2 linked regions of the Xenopus tropicalis genome follow. The protein of the gene in region 1 purifies or fractionates together with the protein of each later gene. This does not show direct contact. Links are inferred from orthologs where the notes say so. Each region holds a gene or a part of one and is shown on either strand. Other genes may lie near its edges.

The links.
Region 2: the proteins of mmp2 (region 1) and col5a1 purify together in Homo sapiens (co-immunoprecipitation; 3 studies listed by BioGRID and IntAct, counting the BioPlex papers as one, with this or other methods). This does not show direct contact. The link is inferred for Xenopus tropicalis from reciprocal best matches to the Homo sapiens genes MMP2 and COL5A1.

Annotation. Positions count from the first base shown.
Region 1 is NC_030680.2:42,727,017-42,737,873, reverse strand, and holds the end of mmp2 (72 kDa type IV collagenase precursor), read right to left. Parts: intron 10,600-10,857; coding exon 10,440-10,599; intron 8,425-10,439; coding exon 8,315-8,424; intron 5,926-8,314; coding exon 5,822-5,925; 3' UTR 5,197-5,821; downstream 1-5,196.
Region 2 is NC_030684.2:7,558,841-7,569,840, forward strand, and holds part of col5a1 (collagen alpha-1(V) chain), read right to left. Parts: intron 10,224-11,000; coding exon 10,116-10,223; intron 9,978-10,115; coding exon 9,924-9,977; intron 9,838-9,923; coding exon 9,784-9,837; intron 9,695-9,783; coding exon 9,587-9,694; intron 8,581-9,586; coding exon 8,527-8,580; intron 7,180-8,526; coding exon 7,072-7,179; intron 6,984-7,071; coding exon 6,930-6,983; intron 6,249-6,929; coding exon 6,141-6,248; intron 6,026-6,140; coding exon 5,972-6,025; intron 5,684-5,971; coding exon 5,630-5,683; intron 5,546-5,629; coding exon 5,492-5,545; intron 3,695-5,491; coding exon 3,641-3,694; intron 3,547-3,640; coding exon 3,439-3,546; intron 3,350-3,438; coding exon 3,296-3,349; intron 1,773-3,295; coding exon 1,719-1,772; intron 1,457-1,718; coding exon of another isoform or gene 1,406-1,456; exon of another isoform or gene 1,391-1,405; intron 1,141-1,390; coding exon 1,033-1,140; intron 582-1,032; coding exon 528-581; intron 352-527; coding exon 316-351; intron 220-315; and 3 more. UniProt on the Homo sapiens protein: Type V collagen is a member of group I collagen (fibrillar forming collagen). It is a minor connective tissue component of nearly ubiquitous distribution. Type V collagen binds to DNA, heparan sulfate, thrombospondin, heparin, and insulin.

The DNA.
Region 1 (10,857 bases):
TGCGTGTCGCCAGTGTGAGCAAGTCCTTTTTAATATCCTGGATTTCCTCCTTGAGTGTATCTGTAACTTCGCGCAACATATCTCTGATATCTGCTTTTGAGGGTAAATTCGCTATGTAAGTATGCAGGTCCGGGCCCTCCTCTGTGTCGCTTTCCTGCTCAGAGAGCTCTCTGTTAGATTCTGCCTCCTCCTCTCTCGCTTCACTGACGGCCGCCATTTTGGCTTCGTATCGTGCCGTTTTTCTTTTTAAGAATAGCGGCGCTATGTCGCTTTGAGAGGCTAATTGTTTTTTGTTAGGGGTTCTCTCCCTCTCCGGTTTTGTTTTATTAGGTTTCCCCATTTCTTCTCCTACTCTTTAGGGCTGTAAGGGCAGTTCCGTCACGGAGCTCTCAGGATATGCTGCCATTCAGTTCCAAGGCAAGCCACGCCCCCTATTTTGATACTTTGATACACATTGATGCTTAGCATATCATACTCCATTTTAGAAATGGATCTCCATTTTGTAACAGCAAACAGCAAGGTTTGAACATCCCATAATAGTTGTTTTCCCAAATCGTACAGCTTGCACTTTACGAAATACATGGTTTAAAAACAACTTAATCTTATCTGTGCACTAACGCCTCTTCTACTCCTTGTGTCCTCCTTAAAATTCCTGTCCTGCATTAGCCATCCATGAAGGCCATCCTTGAAGATAATGAGGTTCTACACCATCTTTATTTTATAATGATTCCTTTGTCTCTGTACGTCTCTGTACGTACACCAGGGGTATAAATTCTATGATCACGTAATAATAAACTGGACAAGTTTGAATTACCATTGGAGTTGTGTCGTTCTTGTCCCCGTATACGCCTTTGTCCTGGTAGGAGGGCTCCCACGGATTACTAAATCTAAGATCGGCGGTCAGGGACCTTACACAGATGCTATAACCTATTTGTTGAAGCATATTGCTGAAATAAAGATTGTTCAATTTATCTTTATTAATGGGTCTCCGGATCCAATAAAAGTGCTTAGCATTATACTGCTGGTTTATGTGTATCACTGGGGGTTGTGGGTGTCACCAGAGGTGGTCGAGAGCAGGACCCATATAACACAGCTACACCTACGGGTGCGCTACATGTACATAACCACATACTTTGGTATATCTATGCATATTGGGCATTAAACTGTTCAGTAGACCTCTGGCGTTCATATTTAGGGTAATTTGCCATTGTATGTAAAAAATTGTGTGAGATAAAGGTGGTATATTTCGATGTTTTTAGGTGACTTTCAGAAATGCCATCAAACCCGCAAAGTTTAGGAAAGCTTTACAGTTTGGTACTTTGGTGTAGAAAAGGCGTCTTTACCCATATTTGATTCGTCTGAATGCATACTTTCCAAACAAAATATGGTTTTTAGGAGTTATCCTATATGTTTGCCTCTTTTACCACACACATAACTGTAAGAGTCTGTAAGTGCCATGTATTTTGATGAACCTATGTATATTGGACATCACACTGTTTGGTAGACCTCTGTTGGTTATATTGAGGTTGTTTTATATGGTTACCTAATAACCTGTGAGAGAAAAGATAGTGCAAAGTGGAAGTTTTGAGGTGATCTTCGGAAGTTTTGTCAAAATCGCCAAATTTAGGAAAGCTTTGGGGCTTGGTTCTTTAGAGTAGAAATACATGGGTACCCATTTTAGATTCAGAGGAATGTGTACTTTCCAAAAATATATGGCTTTCTGGGGTAAACTTACTTTTTATAGCTTTACCCCCATAAAATTAAGTAAATGTGTTAATTTTGTAGTAACTGAAATGACAGAAATGATACACCATATGGGGGTATTTTCATTTTGGGGCCCCTACATGCCACATACTTTGGACATTGGGTATCAAACTGTTAAGTGGACCCCTGGCATTCATATTTAGGGTGTTTTATCTTGGTACTTAATGATATAGGGAAGATAAGAACCTGTGGAAGCTTTGAAATGATTTTTCAAAATTGAGGATAGTTGTTTGGGTTGGTATAATTCCCTTTTAATATGCCCAGAGCTTAAAGTTCTCCAATCAATAAGAGTGATAATGATTCAGTACTGCGAATTAAATTTCATGTTACAATTTTAGCTCTTGTGAGCAGGCCTTTTTGATCCTATTTTTATTCTGTAATACTTTACAGAAGCATATAGTTGGTTCAGTTATGGTTAGACCCCTGTTTGTTAAAAATGAATGTAAAGAACTGCGTAACTTTATGGGGCTATATAAATTAATGATGATGATGATGATGATGATGAAAAAGTAGAATATAGTCTTAAAATGACAGGAATAAATATCGCAATGAGAAGCCCAAGCAAGCAAATTTATTAACCTGTCAATATGCAGCATATATTTAATATAATTTTCATTTACTTGAGATTTAATGTTGATAAATGTAAGGTCATGCACCTGGGATGTAAAAATAAGCAAGCCATACCTTAAATGGGACTGCACTAGGCAAATCCATAATGGAGAAGGACCTTGGAGTCCTTGTAGATAATAAACTTGACTGTAATAAGCAATGCCAGGCAGCAGCTGCAAGGGCAAACAAGGTTTTGAGCTGTATAGAGGGGGTTATTTTTCCACTTTTCCATACCACTTTACTAACTAAGCTGGTAAAAGATATGGGAGGTCTCATTTAAGAAGAAAGACTGCCCGGGTTGGGATTGTTTATTCTGGAGAAGAGGTGCTTAAGAGGTGATATGCTAACTATGTTTAAATATATAAGGGAATCATATAATAATCTCTCTAATGCTATATTTACCAATAGGTCCTTCCAGCGAACACGAGGGCACCCACTCCGATTACAAGAAAGGAAGTTCCATCTGAATACTCAGAATTTGTTTTTTACGGTGAGAACTGTGAAGTTGTGGAATTCTCTCCTGAAATGAGTCGTGCTTGCTGATACATTAGATAGCTTCAAGAAGGGGTTGGATGGCTTTTTAGCAAGTGAGGAATACAGGGTTATGGAAGATCATCATATCAACATATCATATCAGATGATCCAGGGACTGGTCCGATTGCCATCTTGGAGTCAGGGAGGAATTTAGAGAGGCTTCAGAAGGGGTTTTTGCCAGCGTCTGGATCAACTAGCACTTAGGCAGGTTATATATAGGTATAAAAGGTTGAGCTTGAAGGACGTGTCTTTTTTTACCCTAACTTACTATGTTATTTTGCAAGGCTTATTAAATCAGATTCACATTATGCACCAAATAGAACAGTTAGAAAACCAACATTTTTAATATTCACTTTCAGTGGATAATCATAGGCTAACAACTGACAATATTTTTTTTCTTGAGACTGAGCGAGGCACGGGTCAAAGAACCTTAGAGCCATGATGCTACAAAGCAGGACCTGTAGGCTGCTAGTTGAAGGATTATGGGAACAACATGTCTAGTCCCATGTCAAATTTCAAAATTTAATATAAAAAAAATCTGTTTGCTCTTTTAAAAAAATGGATTTCAGTGCAAAGTTCTGCTAAAGCAACACTATTAACTGGTGCATTTTAAAAAAATTTTCCTGTGACAAAATCCCTTTAATCCCAGTCAGGGCACTATCTGGAAGGAGATATTCTTATGTCTGCATGGGTTTCCTCTGGGTACTCTGGTTTCCTCCCACACTCCAAAAACATACAGACTTTTAAAACATACAGACCTTTACTTTTAAATAAATTGACCAAAGTGTGTGAATGTTAGAGGGACCTTAGATTGTAAGCTTCTCTGTGGCAGTGAGTGATGTATAATCACTGTAAAGCACTGTGAAAATGTGTTTGGCTATATCAATTACATAAATAAACTAGAAAGGGACGTTTGAGTAACTACAACTTAGGCTCTGTGCAAAGTAATTGAAAGAATGGACGCCAGAATGTTCTTTGCAGTGAAAACATAAACCAACTTGTTTATTGTCCAAGACAATTAGTGCACAGGGTTGTAGAAATACTCAGAGGAGATAGCAGTTTAACACTCTGAGGATGGAAAGAGAGGATGTCTACCAGTTTATCCCACCTAATGAGTCTGGGCAGGGTAAAGACACCTGACAGCACAGCACCACTATGGAGGGCAGTCTGGACAGATACCTCAGGTCCTCAGGACCTTAGCTGTTAAGGATCCCAACAGCCGACTATGGATCAGGGATTAGAACTAAACTGAATCCTGCAAATTAACTGTGGCCAGAAACTGCTCTTTCTACCTAATCTTTATGCTAACTTTCCTAGAAAGTGATCCTAGTATGTCTACTATCTACCTATTCCTCGTTCACGGGGTCCCTGTTCCCCAACTTTCTCTAAAGTAGGATGTTTCTCTAGGTTATAATGGCTTACTTTGGCCCTGTGGATCCCAGGCTTAGTGAAACCTCTACCTGAGTCCAGGCCTGGATTTGTGGCGAGGCCACAAAGTCCTGGTCCTAGGGCAGCACAAATGTAGCCGCCCAAGCCGACCTGAAATTTTGCTCACATACGGAGCGATGGAGACCACTGCTCTGTATGTGAGTTTGAATGTGTGGGGGGGGGTTGGTGTTGTTGCGCCTGCGCGTGCTGGGGTGGGTGCAAATGGGGAAGGCCTCAGGGAGCCTCAATAGCAAATCCGGCGGTGCCTGAGTCAACAGATGCAGCCAAAGAGGGGGATCCACCCCTTTGCTAAACACTATATTAGAGTGCAAAGGGAGTGATCTACCTATGAACCAATAAGGCACAGAATGCAAATGGTAAACTAGATACATAGGTCTTTGCCCAGTAACAGAATAAAGAAGGAAATAATAGGGTTTAAAGCCTATGGGTCCCTACAGTATGTTGGGTTTTTCTAACCAACATAATATAAATAAATATTGTACTGTATGTTGCTTCAAATAGCAACTCTTGAAAAACTGAGACTTCCTCTGCCTGCTTTATTGGTTTTTTACACTTCAATACCAATACGTTTTACAAGCATTTAAAATAATAAACGTTGGGAAGGATAGGGCAATTATTGGAGCAGGGTATAATAGATTTTTTTAGATGTTTGTGTTACTTTTCCTTTAAAATGCCTGGGAATTCCATACCACTCAGAAAAGTCCAGCTGCTTTAAATTTAATTCTACTAGATGCTGTATATCATGACCTATCTCAGTGACAATTTTTTTCCAAAAATAATGTTAATGCATTAACTAAAATTCCCTTCTTTTTGCTTTGTGTACAAAAATCAGACACTTTGAATATTTTTATTTTTATTTTATAATTAAAATTAGTTTTTGTTATCAAAATATTGTACAGATTTTCATTTGGAATATGGATAAAAATACAGCTGTGTGAACAAAATAACAGCACACAATAGCTGATAACGTTTACACTGTTCTTTCTCACTGCAGTTTGGTGAACAAGGAGAATTTAACAAAACAACAAAAATTTCAAAAGCAGTTACAGCAAAAGGGCCATATCATCAAAAATCCATAATGTTACAATTATGTATAGGCAGCCGGTGCCTATATACAAATGGGTTAGTGGATGATTCATTAAGGAAAAGGATTAAGCAGCATGTTCCTTCCCTGGTTATTGAACATTAAACTAATCCAAAAACGTATGGCAGTGCTGCTTACTATAATACAAAACATTTTAAGCTGAAGTTAATATAGTTAATTGGAGCAAGTGAAAAATTCTAGCGGAATGTACAAATTCTTAATATTGCAGTGTTTGAGTGTTACTGTAGCATATCTTCCTAAGCTCCTCAGATACCAGTACCAGACTGGTCCATTATAATACTTTATTATGCTATAACAAAAAAAGCCATACAAGTATGAAAGGTCATGTTAAGGAATACAGCGTAGCTAAATGAATACATTTCAGCAGCGTAGCCAGTCATTTTTGACATTTCCAACCTTTACAATCTTCACACTTTTGTCTTCAACTTGAAAGTAATACCAGTCTTTGAAAAAGTAGCTGTACCCTGTGAAATGAAAAGAATATATATTACAAATGCATGACAGTTCTAAATACGTACATTCAGTTCTTTACACTTGTGTGTATACTTTTACCATATATACTCGAGTATAAGCCGAGTTTTTCAGCACCCAAAATGTGCTGGAAAAGTAACCCTCTGTTTATACTCGAGTCCCTCCAACTAACACCCTCTGCTACATGATTCCCTGTGTGCTCCGCTGCTTCCTGGTTCCTTGCCCCGCCCCCCAGCGTGACATCACATGCTCCCTGCTCTCAGCTCCGGTGTCTGTGTCTGAGGGGGAGGGAGAGCCTTTACAAGCAGGCAGGAATGGAACTGTTTGAAGCAGGCAGGCAACGGAACATCAAGCCTGCATGCTATTGAGTTGAGGAGGGAGGGAGAGGGAGGGAGCTCCTTAAAGTAAACCTCAAGCTGAATCCTCTCAGTTTATAATGTGCTCCTTTTGATAGACAGGTTGTGGAACAAGGCATTAATGAGTGATTACTTCTCCAGGTGACCCTGCTAGAGGAGGCAGTAGGAGGGAGCCTGGCATCTCGCATACTCATTCCCTGCACGTATTTGTTCAGTAAGATTGATAAATCCTAATTTTATTGGAATTTATGTTGATTATTGAAACTTAGAAGCTGCTGCATTTCCCATCCTAGGCTTATACTCGAGTCAATAGGTTTTTCCAATTTTCTTAGGTAAAATTAGGTACCTCGGCTTATACTCGAGTATATACAGTATTTATACAATGCTACTTATGTATGCAGCACTGTACAGCAGAACATTACATAAATAGAACAGTTAGAAAACCAACATTTTTCATATTCACTTTCAGTGGATAATCATAGGCTAACAACTGACAATATTTTTTCAAGTGCGAGCTGTGTGAGCTCTAATTTCGCAGTTTGATAAATCAACCCCTAACTGTTAAACACACATATTTCGTTTTTTTGTGGTGGGACATTAACTGCCATGGGTATCCACACAACAAAATATAAATAATAAAAAAATGATTTATACCAGAAACGTATTTTATTTTAGGGAAAAAAATTCAACTGATTTGGAAAACCTCATGTCTCCCAAACGTGCCAATACCAGATATGTATAGTTTTATGGATATTTCTGACTTCTATAGATCAAAAACTCCCAGCAGTAAATTACCACATTTTCAAAGCATTACAGCAGAATACGGCATACTTTAGATTCCAAAACCAAAAATACTGGAACTTTAGGTTTACCCCAGGAAACCATATATTTTTGAAAAGTACACATTCTGCCGAATCAGAAATGGGTAACTATGTCTTTCAACTCCTAAGTACCAAACAACAATGCTTTCCTGAATTTAGCAATTTCTATAAAAAAATTATGAAAATTCTAAAAAATCGCCTCAAAGCTTCCACTTTCAAGCATCGTATCTCCCACATAACATTAGGTACCAAGAGAAAATATCCTAAATATGAAAGCCAAGGGTCCACAGAACAGTTTGATGCCCATTGTGCATAGGATCATTAAAGTATTTGGAATTTAGAGACCCCAAAAGGAAGCTAGTGCATACAAATTGCCCCTGAGATCTCTTTAGCTACTGAAGGGGCCCCTCGGCAATCGCGCCCCAGGCACTTAAAGGGGCACTTAAAGGGTTAATACATTTTTAATATGTTTGACCCAGGCAGTGTTTTTTTGTTTTTCTTTTTCCCTAATGGTGTCAAGGGGAATTTTTGTTCCTATATTAGGCAAGTGGGAAACAGATTCAGATTTTTTTTGCATGACTGAATCAATTAGAAGTAGCAAGGTGTTTTACCATGTTAGGCATAGATCGAAAACAAAAACCATATAGAGTAGGTAATACCTTTTTTCTGATTTAGTGGATTATAAAAACCTTGCTTTGGTGACTAAGTAACCAATAAAAGTAAAAGGGGTCTTGCTTAAAAACAAGTTTAAATATAAAAAGTACCCAAAACCTGACCAACAATTAAACTCTTAAGGTGGCCATACACGTTTCGAAACGAGGTTTTGTACGATATAATCTGTGCGTGTATGGCCATATTTAATTTTAATTTTTATTTGGTTGTATGTGCAAAAAATATATTTTCTGTACACTTTTAAAACTGTGTTCAAAAATTATATTTCATGCAGATTTTTTGTGTGCTAGGTGTCTAGGTCAGAATAAGTGCTAAAATATGTGTTCTCATACAACATTCTTTGTGCACATCATAGTTTTTAACCACAACATTTGTGTGCAATAAGTGCATGGGAGCAAGGCTTGGAACGGACATTATTGACTGGCTAAGATTAAATATCAAATTGGAAGTACTATGTTTAAAAAATACTAATGGAACATATTGCACCAATTTTTCCACCTCAATAAAGTGTTATAAAGAAATAAAGTGCTTACCACTTCCGGTTTGATCCAGCACAGCATCTAAATTATCTGGTACACCATTCCATGCATCTGCAATTAATTTGGGGAAACCAATGTCCATTTTCTTTTTTACTTCATTATATCTAAAAGAACATATGTAAGATAATAAGAATTCACAGTCTCAACAAAATGTTATTTTACAAGTCAATTTGTATTGAATGTACAAAGTAACAAATAAGTCCTTATGCAGCGTCTTTCGTAATTAATAAGTGCTCCTTAAGAGATTACAGACCCCAAGCTGGCTGTAAACAATTATTCAGGTGTGCCTGAAGAAGGCTGTTAAGCCGAAACATGTAGTGCTACGATGTTTCCACAAATAAACAAAACTGTTATAAAGCATAAAGATATGATGTGCTCTCAGGGTCATTGGTCTACGCATTTCTAATTGTACTGAATGTATATTGCCCTTTAATGTAAAGTATATACTAAGGATGCACTGAATGTAGGATTCGGTTCAGGATTTGGCCAAGATTCGTCCTTTTTCAGCAAGATTAGGATTCAAACTAATCCACGCCTGGCCAAACTGAATTAAAATCCTTAAAATCACTAAACTTTTTGTCACATAAACATGTAAGTTGAAAATTTTAACCCTTACGTATCCTAATTTATATATGCAAATTAGGATTTGGTTTGGTTTTCGACCGAATCTTTTACAAAGGATTCGGGGTTTGCCCGAGTCTGAAACTAGTGGATTCGGTGCATCCCTAGTACATGCAGGCATGGGATCCATTATCAGTAAACCCGTTATCCTGAAGCTCCAAATTACAGCATGGCCATCTCACATAGACTCCAATTTGATAAAAAATAAATATTTTTTTTTTAATTATTTCCTTTTTTCTCTGTATTAATAAAACAGTATTTTGCACTTGATCTTAACTAAGATAGAGACATAGCAAGGAGATTGCAGATATACGGTGGGTTAAGGGCTCTGGCACACGGGGAGATTAGTCGCCAGCGACAAATCTCCCTTGTCACGGGCGACTAATCTCCCCGAACTACCATCCCACCGGTGAACATGTAAGTCGCCGGTGGGATGGTACACGCTGCACAGGCGATTTCGGCAAATCGCCAAAGTTGCCTCGCAAGGCAACTTCGGCAATTTGCCGAAATCGCGCCGCCGCGTGTGCCATCCCACCGGCGACTTACATGTTCACCGGTGGGATGGCAGGTGATGGCAACTCGGGGAGATTAATCGCCCGCGAACAGGGAGTTTTGTCGCGGGCGACTAATCTTCCCGTGTGCCAGAGCCCTAATAGCTATTTGAGTCAAGGTTTGTTTAGTTGTGCTGCCTGTTGATTAGATTATTCTGTAACAGCATTGCTAGGGTTAAGACTTGTTAATAATTGGTAATGAATCAGAAGTAAAACTCAAAAGCAGGAAAATAAGATACGTACATACACATATATGAAACTAACTGCAGATTATGAGACTTTTGTAGCTATGAGTATTTGGCTTGTCCAAAAAGTCTACTCTTACAGGTATTAATGGATTCAGCTATCAAAACATTACATGATTTCATAACCTCACTGCCCTCACTGTGAAAAACCATTTCTATTGTTTCAAATAAAAGTTTCTTCTTAAAGTCATACAATATGGCTTTTATTTATTTGGTCTTTCCTATGAGAAAAAATAAATACCCTACTATCTGTCTATAATAAATTTATAATGAGTATTCATGTCCCCTGACAATTGCTTTGTATGCAGAAAAAAACAACCTCAAAGTTACAGATATAGGAGTTGCAGATTGTTGATTATTTCTACATGTTGCCAGTTTTTTTCCTTCAGAAAAATTTTATTGATCCAATGGATTGAACATCACATTATTCTGGGGAAGTGCAAAAACTTTGGCTGAAAACTCATTTACAAGCCAAATCAGGTAGTGGTCAGCCTATTTTTCTTTTGCTTTTTCTTTTTTATTGCAAAGCAAAAATATGGTACACATTGAGGAATATTTATTAAAGAATGAACTTTCACTTTCACTTATTGATAAATCCTTTAAAAATAAATAGAGAGGGACAGAATTTCACTATAGTGGACTGTGGTAAGCTCTAACTTCACTCTTTGATAAATATACCCCATTGTATTTGTGCAAACTTACCTCCAGAACTTGTCCCCAGTAAAGAAGTATGTCTTTTTGTTTTTGCTCCAGTTGAATGCAGCATCAACACGATCAACATCAGGAGGTAGTCCTAAACTGGTCAACTTTTTCGGGTATCCTCTTTCCAAAGTGCTTGATAAGTAGACCCAATACTCATTACCTGGAGACAATATAAAACAGTTAATACTTTAATTAAAACCAAGCAAGGAAAACATTTTGTGGTTAAAATGTTTAACAAGTGACAATTACTGAGTGACAAGTTACTGAAATCAGAGGCCAGTGGGACAGCGAGAAAGTCGTTTTGTCTCCAATATATCATATATATATATATATATATCATATATATATATATATATATAGAAAAAGGCTGAGGCACACACTTATAGGGAAAACAACCTGGGTGCAAATCAGATAAACA
Region 2 (11,000 bases), on another chromosome or scaffold:
CTGGATCACCTCGCCTGGAGGTCCCTAGAATAGAAATCATCAATAGAAAATCGTTAAGGGCTGTATCAATCATCTTTCGTATATTCGGCTCATCAAAAACATATCTCGGGCCACAAGATAACATTTCGATCAACTACTACATTTTTATGTGGTTTTCTTACTTACTGGAGGACCTGGTGGACCAGGGATTCCAGATTCACCCTTTGGACCAGTTGGACCCTGAAAACAAAGCATAACAACATTAAAGTTCATAAAGTCATATAATGAAGTATCATTTCTCATTTGATATCTGCATCTCAACCCGTCTTCACTTACCGATGAACCTTTAGCACCTTTTGGACCAGGACCACCCTGCAATCGAATAGAAAAAGGTCTTCAATATTCAAAGCAACTTCCTATGTATGAGCCTAACTCTCAGTAACTACAAAAGGCAGTTCTTCTACTTTGTCTGCTCTGCAAGGTACTATATTGTTGTTTAGTAACCAAAATCTTGGGTCAGTTATGGAGTGGTGCAAGGAAATACTTACCGGTAAGCCTGGAGGACCAGGTGGACCAACAGGACCAGATGGACCAAGAATACCCTGAAAGTGATCATAGCAACATCATTATCATTCAAACTAAACAGAAATACTTTCTTTAGAAATGCAAGATATTCTCTAAATACTCGGTTGACGGGCTGGTAGAAGTACGTGGTTAAAAATACCGTTGCCATGGTAAATGCATAAAAAGTTGGGTGTTTTTTTTACTTTTATCCTTGTGTTTGATGTGACATTTAAGGACCATGGCACACACAGCATTTTGATGAATACTAAGTAGGGCTGGAACACACTCTGGATGATTATCGTGTCCCCAGGAACAACAGTGAGAAATACCGGAACTTGTGGTAAGACCCCTGTACATGGCCATTGAACATCTCGGGCAATTTTTAATCAACCTGGGACATATTTACTACAGACAAGTGACTTCAAAATTGGGACTTTGGTGTTCTCCATCATTCAAAGAAGTCTCTTTATGGCTAGAAAATATACAAACCTGTTCTCCTTTAGCACCATGTGGTCCCTGGGGGCCTGGCAAACCACGGTCTCCCTTTTCTCCCTGTTCACCAGGAGGTCCAATGAGACCTATCAAGCCTGGATGACCCTACAGTAACAAAGAAACAGCTTTATGAGATGGTTTTATGAGATGCCTACCAAGAGCAGACCTCAAAGTCAAACATGGAGTAGGTTCTGCCTTTGTATCTACACTTCCTATTGAGTTTCACCAGGAGGTCCAATGAGACCTATCAAGCTTGGATGACCCTACAGTAACAAAGAAACGGCTTTATGAGATGGTTTTATGAGATGCCTACCAAACGTAGACCTCAAAGTCAAACATGGAGTAGGTTCTGCCTTTGTATCTACACTTCCTATTTAGTTTCACCAGGAGGTCCAATGAGACCTATCAAGCCTGGATGACCCTACAGTAACAAAGAAATGGCTTTATGAGATGGTTTTATGAGATGCCTACCAAACGTAGACCTTAAAGTCAAACATGGAGTAGGTTCTGCCTTTGTATCTACACTTCTTATTTAGTTTCACCAGGTGGTTGTACCATCATCTTCAACTTACAAGAACCCACAAGAAACATGTGTCCTAGTGTTAGAGACAGTGGTGGATTAAGAATACAGTATTTACAAAGTGTGGCCTACTCAGCGAGAAAGCCAAGTGTGAGGCACATACCTTTTCTCCTTTTGGACCTGAGTCTCCTTTCAGACCTGGTATACCTGGTGGACCCTGCAATAAATACATGACATTAGCTCAGAATAGGAAATTTGCTCAAGACTTTAATGATAAGTGCAAAGAAAGAACATCATTGTAGGGGATTAATGAGTAGCCATTGATATGGCATTTAGTCCCATGAAGTATTAATGACCCTTAGTGAGAAGAGGGCTGGTCTTAATGTAAACATGGGTTCAATATCTACTGGAGGGAGGGGAGGAGCCATATTCTTGGATTCTGCTCATGGAGGAGGGTTTAGATGTGTCCAAAGCCTTGGGAGGGAATAGTCCCCATTAAAGAAGTGTGTCCTGAGGTAGGAGGACTCTATGGTTTTCAATATCGAGGGGGGGAGTACAGTAAAATGATCACTTTAGGAGCGTTAGAGAGCTGTTGATGGTTCTTACTGATGTTGTAGTTTGTTGGTGTGTATGTACCAGCAATTTATAGACTAGTACAGCGGGTAGTGGGGTTTCCCTTTGGTATCTCCATCTCAGTGGAGCTATGAGTCAATGCCACCATTAGCACTTACTTAAGAGTACTGTATTGTCTTTGACAAATAAGGAAGAAAATATACAGAAAAATGTTCAGGGAACTCTGAGTATCACTCGCGTATTATAAGGGATAATGTACCCCCTACTGTAAATGATAAGGATATTAGCAGTCACTGAGGGGTTCTGTGCCCCCCATATAAAGGCACAAGGCTGCAGGCTGAGTTATACAGGGAACTCTGAGTATCACTCATGTATTATAAGGGATAATGTACCCCCTACTGTAAATGATAAGGATATTAGCAGTCACTGGGGGGTTCTGTGCCCATATAAAGGCACAAGGCTGCAGGCTGAGTTATACAGGGAACTCTGAGTATCACTCATGTATTATAAGGGATAATGTACCCCCTACTGTAAATGATAAGGATATTAGCAGTCACTGAGGGGTTCTGTGCCCATATAAAGGCACAAGGCTGCAGGCTGAGTTATACAGGGAACTCTGAGTATCACTCATGTATTATAAGGGATAATGTACCCCCTACTGTAAATTATAAGGATATTAGCAGTCACTGAGGGGTTCTGTGCCCCCCATATAAAGGCACAAGGCTGCAGGCTGAGTTATACAGGTAACTCTGAGTATCACTCATGTATTATAAGGGATAATGTACCCCCTACTGTAAATTATAAGGGTATTAGAAATCACTGAGGGGTTCTGCACAAGGTGCACATTATTTGTTATTATAAACAAGTTTCAGTGAGTCATGTGACACAAATGACATTACTAGGCACTGTATACAAGGATGTAATTTGCAGCATATTCACGTATTATATAACTATATGAGACAGTGGCACCTTGATTTACTTTATTGCAGTTAAGAAGTTGGTTATCAAGATGGTTAGAAGCAACCTTTGACCATCTGGGTGAATTTGTACAAAATGAGCTTCTGTTTAAGCTTGGGGGGAAGAGTATAATGTTCTGCCCATAGTAAACCAGGTAGAGCTTCTACTGCCATCAAAAACTGTTACATATTTGAACCTTAGTACACTTACCATAGGTCCGGGAGGGCCATCAGGTCCAGGTGAACCAGGGAGACCTTGTTCACCCTACAAAAGAACAGATCAAATTAAGCATACCCCTTTACACACTGTGGATCTGAGCTTAGACAGTCATAAGACTTCAGGGAGCTACTCACAACAGGGCCTGGAATTCCTCGAAGGCCTTCAGGTCCAGGTTTTCCGGGAGGTCCTTGGGGACCAATAGGACCAGTCTTACCAGGAGGTCCTTCCAAACCTGATTCACCCTACAATGAAAGGTAGTCAAATTAGTCACTTTTGTATATTATAGGTATTTAGTGTAATAAAGTATAATCACTTTTGTTTTGTTTGTTTTTTTACCTTTGCTCCTTTTTCTCCTTGACGTCCTTCAGGACCTGTTGGACCAGGAGGACCCTAAAGAAGAACATCTTTGGTGAGACTCAGTATATTGCCAAGACTGTTATCCTTCTAAGATTATTTATAAGATTGCCAACAGAATTGTGTCTTTTCTTGGCGTATAACCCATCATTCTTGGAATTAGTCAGACAAGACTGGGCTACGTATAACGTTCTACATCAAGAGCTTGAAGAGTAATACGTAGATGTTTTACATTGAAAGCCCTATCTCTACACATTCTATTATCCCTCTCCCAACATCCCCACAACAAAAAGCAAGAGAGGACTCTTGAATGCAACCAAGGAGCTTGTTCAAGCTATTAGACATACTCGGGAATGCATTAATGAACCACTTGGAAGATGAAGTGGCGAAAACTTGTCATTGGAGGAATGTTCTCAGCCCCTACTGAGCCTCTACTGACTTGGCTTCTGGATGGCATCAGGGATCTGCTTAGTTCATCTTTGACACTAAATAATAGTACAGGTATGAGACCTGTTATCCAGAATGCTCGGGACCTGGGGTTTTCCGGATCCATAATTTGGATCTTCATAACTTAAGTCTGCTAAAAATCATTTAAATACTGAATAAACCCAATAGGGCTGTTCTGCCCCCAATAAGGGGTAATTATATCTTAGTTGGGATCAAGTACAGGTACTGTTTTATTATTACAGAGAAAAGGGAATCATTTAACCATTAAATAAACCCAATAGGGCTGTTCTGCCCCCAATAAGGGGTAATTATATCTTAGTTGGGATCAAGTACAGGTACTGTTTTATTATTACAGAGAAAAGGGAATCATTTAACCATGAAATAAACCCAATAGGGCTGTTCTGCCCCAATAAGGGGTAATTATATCTTAGTTGGGATCAAATACAGGTACTGTTTTATTATTACAGAGAAAAGGGAATCATTTAGCCATGAAATAAACCCAATAGGGCTGTTCTGCCCCCAATAAGGGGTAATTATATCTTAGTTGGGATCAAGTACAGGTACTGTTTTATTATTACAGAGAAAAGGGAATCATTTAACCATTAAATAAACCCAATAGGGCTGTTCTGCCCCAATAAGGGGTAATTATATCTTAGTTGGGATCAAGTACAGGTACTGTTTTATTATTACAGAGAAAAGGGAAATCATTTTTAAAAATTAGAATTATTTGCTTATAATGGAGTCTAAGGGAGACGGCCTTTCCGTAATTTGGAACTTTCTGGATAAGGGGTTTCCGGATAAGCGGTCCCATACCTGTATAATAAAGTGTGTTTTCCTCTTCCTCCTACCCTACCATTGGTATATTCCTTCCCATCTACACGGATACAGCTCGATAGTCCTCCGTCCTTTCTGCACCATGGGTTGACTGTTTCTCCTCCCTAAGTTGCCTGTGTCTCTCCAGTATGGGTACTCTCTGCCCTTATAGGTCCTAGATGCATTTAGCACCTTGTCACATCCACTACCAAAAAGCATCTATTTACCCTGCTCTGGAAGTATCTCTCGCTAACTTTTTACTCCCTTCCACAGTGTTCCATTCCTTCTTTTATAGCATCTCCAGTATAGGTTATTAGTCTCTTCTCCATCTTCTGTTTATCTTCTGCTAACTGCCAACACTTGGATATATCTGTTCCCCATCTCCCAGTGCTCTCTTTCAGGATTGTTATATAATAGTCACAGTTGCCCTTTATAGGTCTGCTTTTCCCCAGGCTCAGATACCCTTTTGTACCTTTGCCCATGCCCTCACACTAGATTCTTCCAGAACAATACCCTATGAAGGCGACTACTATTACCATATGCCAGTGACACAGTAGATAAGGGGTTACATACCCTCTTTCCAGGTGGTCCTGAAGGCCCAGGCTCTCCAGTAGGACCTGGTGACCCCTTGAAACAAAAGAAAGAACTAGTCATATATGTCCACTAGGGTTAAACACAAAACCTAATACCTGATAACTAATCAACACTTACTGGCTGTCCAGATTCACCGTCCTCTCCCTTATCACCAGGTGGACCATCTTGACCCTGAAGGTGGAATGAAAGGAAATATTTAACCATATCTTCACACATTTTCATTCTTTCAAGCATTACCAAGTAAATATTAGCTCCGTATGGAATAGACAAGTCATCTCCTAGAGTCCATCCCCCAGAATAACATTGCAAATGCAATAGAAAAAGTCTTTTTAAGGGCCCACTCATCAGTTTATCAAAAAAAGAGAGTGTTTGATAAGGTCATTGATTGGGCTGAAGAACTAGATAGAGATGTGTATGCTAAATCCCTGGGCGACCATACAAGTAGGTCTTTATACTTACTGCAGGACCAGATTCTCCAGGAGGACCAGGATCACCAGGAAATCCAACTGGGCCCTAAAATATAAGGATTCCAAGTTACATTAATAAGGCATGGGGCAAGTTTTAGCAAATAGTACCACCAGTGTATCTCTATTAAGTCACAGGAAAATAGGAGTAGAGAGGTACTTACAGGGCTACCTTTTGGACCATCATCACCTGGAGGACCTTTAGGACCTGGAGGGCCAGAAGTTCCTTGAAGACCCGCTTCTCCCTTTTCACCTCTTTCACCTTTAGGGCCCTATTGACATATAAAACCAAACAAAATGATAAACATATAACTGATAGTGGTAAACAAATGCCGAACAGTGTACCTGCAAGCATACACTAGATCCATTTATATACACGTTCATGGGTATCATAGCTTTTTTTGGTCTATTCCTTAATCATTCCCCACCCCCTCACCCCTTAAGTGGCTTCTTCTCCAGTGTAAACAATCCTAGCTTGTCCAGCCTTTTGTCATAATGAAGATCTATTTCCTTTATCAGCCTAGAAGCTCTTCTAGAGAGAAGAAGAGATACTCAGCTGATAAAGGGTATCAAAGATCTTCATTAAGGTGGCCATTAATGAGCAGAGTCCTTTAGACCAATTTGAGAGCTTATCTGCCCATGTATGGGTACCCCCAACGGGCCTCCCTGATCGATATCTGTCCAAAATGTCATCCAGGTTTCGATCGGGGACTGCTTCAGCTCATTGATGTGGTCCTCAGTCTAGGGCCAAACAATCAAATTAGCCCAATATCACCCACCCAAGGTAGGCATTTTGGGGAAAGATTAGGGAATCTAAAGGGTGGGGGCTTCTGTATACTTTAATTGTACACCAGTACAATAGAGGTGGGTGGAAAAAGGTATTCATAGTTCAGTCGTACATAGCTACAATGGAGTATGTGGTGCCCTATGGTAGTACCATAGAGTTGTCTTACCGGTGGTCCAAGTTCACCAGGAAGACCAGGTTCCCCAGACTCTCCAGGGTCACCCTAGAAAAGAATGAAAGGTTACATGTAGCAGCTTTCCAATCGCAGCCTTAATGGCTGAAGCCCATTGATACAAGCAAAAATACACTACCTTCTCTCCTACAGGACCAGGGTTGCCAATTCCTCCAGGAGGACCTTGTGGGCCATCAGCTCCAGGGGAGCCAGAAGGACCTCTAGGACCAGGGGGACCAGGAGGACCCTAAATATAAAAGGAACCAATCAAATGTTTCATAGTACAATAATATATGTATTGGTATCTAATCTCAATATGTTATGTTTAAACCTTTCTCTTTGGTTCTACCACTGGCTGTATAACGGAATGTAGACCCTGTAGACGTAGGAGGGGAGGGTCTACTTCATATAAATGGGGGTCTGCAATTTTTCTCCTCACCCACAACATGAAATCATGGGTTACTTTATAAATACTTGTTAGAATAAATAATGTTTAGACTTTTTTCATTGAAAGGGAGGATGGTGCTCAGATCTCCATGGCCATGACCTGACTCTCCACCCTGCCTTGCCTAGTCACTGCATTGCACCTTATTATATTTCCAAGGCTGGTTGGGATGGGTATATGTAGGAAAGTAAAAACCAGGAGATAAAAGCCTTCCTGCCTGATGATGAATCTCTATCACTTCTATTGTAAAGCAATTGGATGGACAATATCTTTTAATTGCTTGTCTATTACTTTTTTTTCCCCTTACATCAGCACAATGGAACTTTAATAGAGCAATTCTGCTGCGTCTGTATCTAATTCCTTTTTAACCCAAATTAGCAGGGAAAAAAAAAAATATCCATTTCTTCTTAATGTGTGTGCACTCTGAGCGCGACGCATTTATTTGGATTTAATAGGCCCGCGTGACACATTTATACAGTGGAAGTAATGCCTCAGTGGGTACTTAAATGGCATTAAAATATCGATGTGCGTTGCCGGCCAGAGGGAAGATCCTTCAGGTGGTGTTTATTTTGATGGCTTAAATATGTCACAATTACATAACTGGGTTACATGGCCCTACGTAGGCTTTAGATCTCCTTCCTCCTAAACTGATGTTGCCATTTTATCCTAAAATGGTTTTGTTGATATGTGAAAAAAACAAGCGTTATTCCAACATTTATTGAATTATATTACTCATTTAGTCTCATCTAGTCTAATTATTAATCAACAAGAGGGGTTCTACTCTACTAGTAGCTTTTTCAGGCTAAACCCCCCCCCCCCTCCATAGAGGTCCAAGTCAGGTCCAAGTTGCAGATCCATGAAAACACAGCAGGAATATCTAGGACAGCAAACGCTGTTCACCCCAAACTAGATGATCGTCTATATGAGCCACCAGTAGTATCTAGGGGTGCATTTCCTTCAATTCTCTCCTATTTGGCTTCAAGCTGGGCACCTACTCAGGCACTGCTCTCCACCACCTCACTTTGGGTACCACTGCTCCATACTTGATACAAATAAGTGTTTTAGTAAATGGATATTATACAAACTAATACAGCAGCAACCACCAACTAGATGCTCATTATATCAATCAAGAACATCTAAAGTACCTACCATCTGACCAACGTCTCCGGTTTCTCCCTTCTCACCAGGTGGTCCAGGTAAACCCTACAGAGAAGATAATTAAGTCATATGGGACATTTTGTAGCAGAAAGAAACCACTGTCCTCTCTTAGGAGGGAGATGAGATGTAAACAGAGTAAACACAACTGTGTCCAACTGACTTTTTCACAAAGCATCTGTGTATGATTCTCTGAGAAGTGTTAAGGTCCCCATACACGGGTCGATTCTAGCTGCCGATATCGTTCCCTTAGACTGATTCGGCAGCTAATCGGCCCATGTATGGGCACTACCGATGGGCCTGCCCGACCGATATCTGGCCTGAAATTGGCCAGATATCGATCGGGCAGGTTAAAAAATCTAGTTAAAAAATTTGATTGTTTGGCCCTGGGGCCAAACGATTGAATTATAATGACGGGTATAGGCAAAGTCGGTCCGGGGACTGCATCAACGAGCCGATGCGGTCCACGGACCGACTTTGCCTATACCCGTCATTATAATTCGATCGTTTGGCCCCAGGGCCAAACGATCGAATTAGCCTGAATTCTCCTGATATCGCCCACCCATAGGTGGGGGATATCGGGAGAAGATCCGCTCGCTTGGTGACATCGCCAAGGTGTATGGGCACCTTTAGTCACAATGGTCATGAATTTACTTCTGAGCTGTCCAACCTTGTAATGTAGTGAACCAATGGCAGAGGTTTAAGAGTATTAAAACAATGATATCTTGTCAGTTGCCAAAAGGCTGGGCCCATATACTCCTTATATGAGGGTCAACAGTTGAGAAGACCTGGTGACACTGGGCACTCTCAGCCCTATTGATGACGACACAGCTCTGATAGAGGTAATAATAGGTTTGGGTATGAGTAATATTAGGTTTTGGCACGTTAGACCTGAATATATTACTGTAATAGTTTAGAAACATTAGGGCATTATCAAATGCTCATGATGACATGATAGTTCTAGCAGTACATGTCCTCTATGACAACACAAGGGAGGTGTGGAGATATAAATGTATGTGGGTTTAGAAACATTGGCTATGTTTGTAGGCATCACCTGCAGTCCAACAGGTCCTGGTGGTCCAGCAAAACCTCTAGGTCCTTCATCACCTTTTTGTCCAAAAAGACCTTGTTGACCCCTGGGGCCTGGCTCTCCATCAGATCCCTACAATGACATGGAGTTAATAGGAGGAGTTAAATAATAACCATAGGAACATATTCTTACCAGCAATGCAAAGTTAACCATTTACTTACTGATGGGCCAGGCTGACCAATGGGACCTTGTGGGCCAGGTGGACCTGGGGGACCCTGGAGATAGAGAAAGATGTTAAAGATATTGAAAAGACAATATACAAAATAAACTAAATGCAATTGCCATTGGATACACCAGATACCTGCTCTCCTTTATCTCCTCTGTTTCCTTTTTGCCCAGGCTCTCCGATTTCACCCTGTTCAAAAATAAGAGAGAGACAATCATCAGGGTGGTTCCTAATATGTTTTGTCCAGGATGTATCATTTGTGCAACATCAGCACCATGTTCTAGATCAGAGATCTTTAAATACTCAGTAATAAAGAAAATTAGTCACCTTATCACCATCTTCACCAGGTGGCCCTACAGGTCCAGCTGGGCCTGGAAGTCCAACGGGGCCTTGGATACCATCACGTCCAGCAGGTCCCTGGGGACCTTTCTCACCCTGTAAAGGAAATGAAATATATAGATGAAGTTCTCAAGAAACCCCAAAAACTGGGCACGGGCCAGTCCATCAATGACTTTCAATGTCAGATCGTGGGTCAAGTTTTAAAGATAAACTACAAGTTATGGTTTGGGAGGTTAGCAGTCCAGCTCCCCCATTAAGGCATACTGTATTTACTATATACTGTATTTCGACCACAATCATCAAGCAAATCAGGCTATTTGAAACTGGTACCATTCTCTGTCAAGGCAACCAAATTATTTACTCAACTAGGGTTGGACACAATTGGCCACCAGTTGAAGAAGCACATTTCTGGGTCAATTGATGACCCTATACATGAAGCTAACTGGGCCCCACACATAAACCAATGATCAGATAGATTTTTAAGAAAAATAGATAACTAGTAAGCCCATTTTCATGTGTCGTCCATGGTTGTGCCTCATCAATTAAGGATGGACCTTCTCCTTAAGGTATTAGGTTGCGTCTTTTCATTCTATTTCCCTGCTTTGGGCCAATTGAATTGCTGACTCTGCTTCTGCATTTCCAATGACCAATGTATGGATTTCTTACACTAGATCAATCTAGCATTTATCTCTTTCTTTATGATTGATGTCTTCTTCTGCAACGTCTACCCAGTCATGCAAACAATAGGTAAAAATAATGCACCATGGAAAAAATTCACATTATTTCCCCTTCTGCATTGGTAAATGGCAAATAAAATCCCCTTGCCCTAAATTACACTGCAGCACCAGAGATCACACAATGGCATTTATGGCA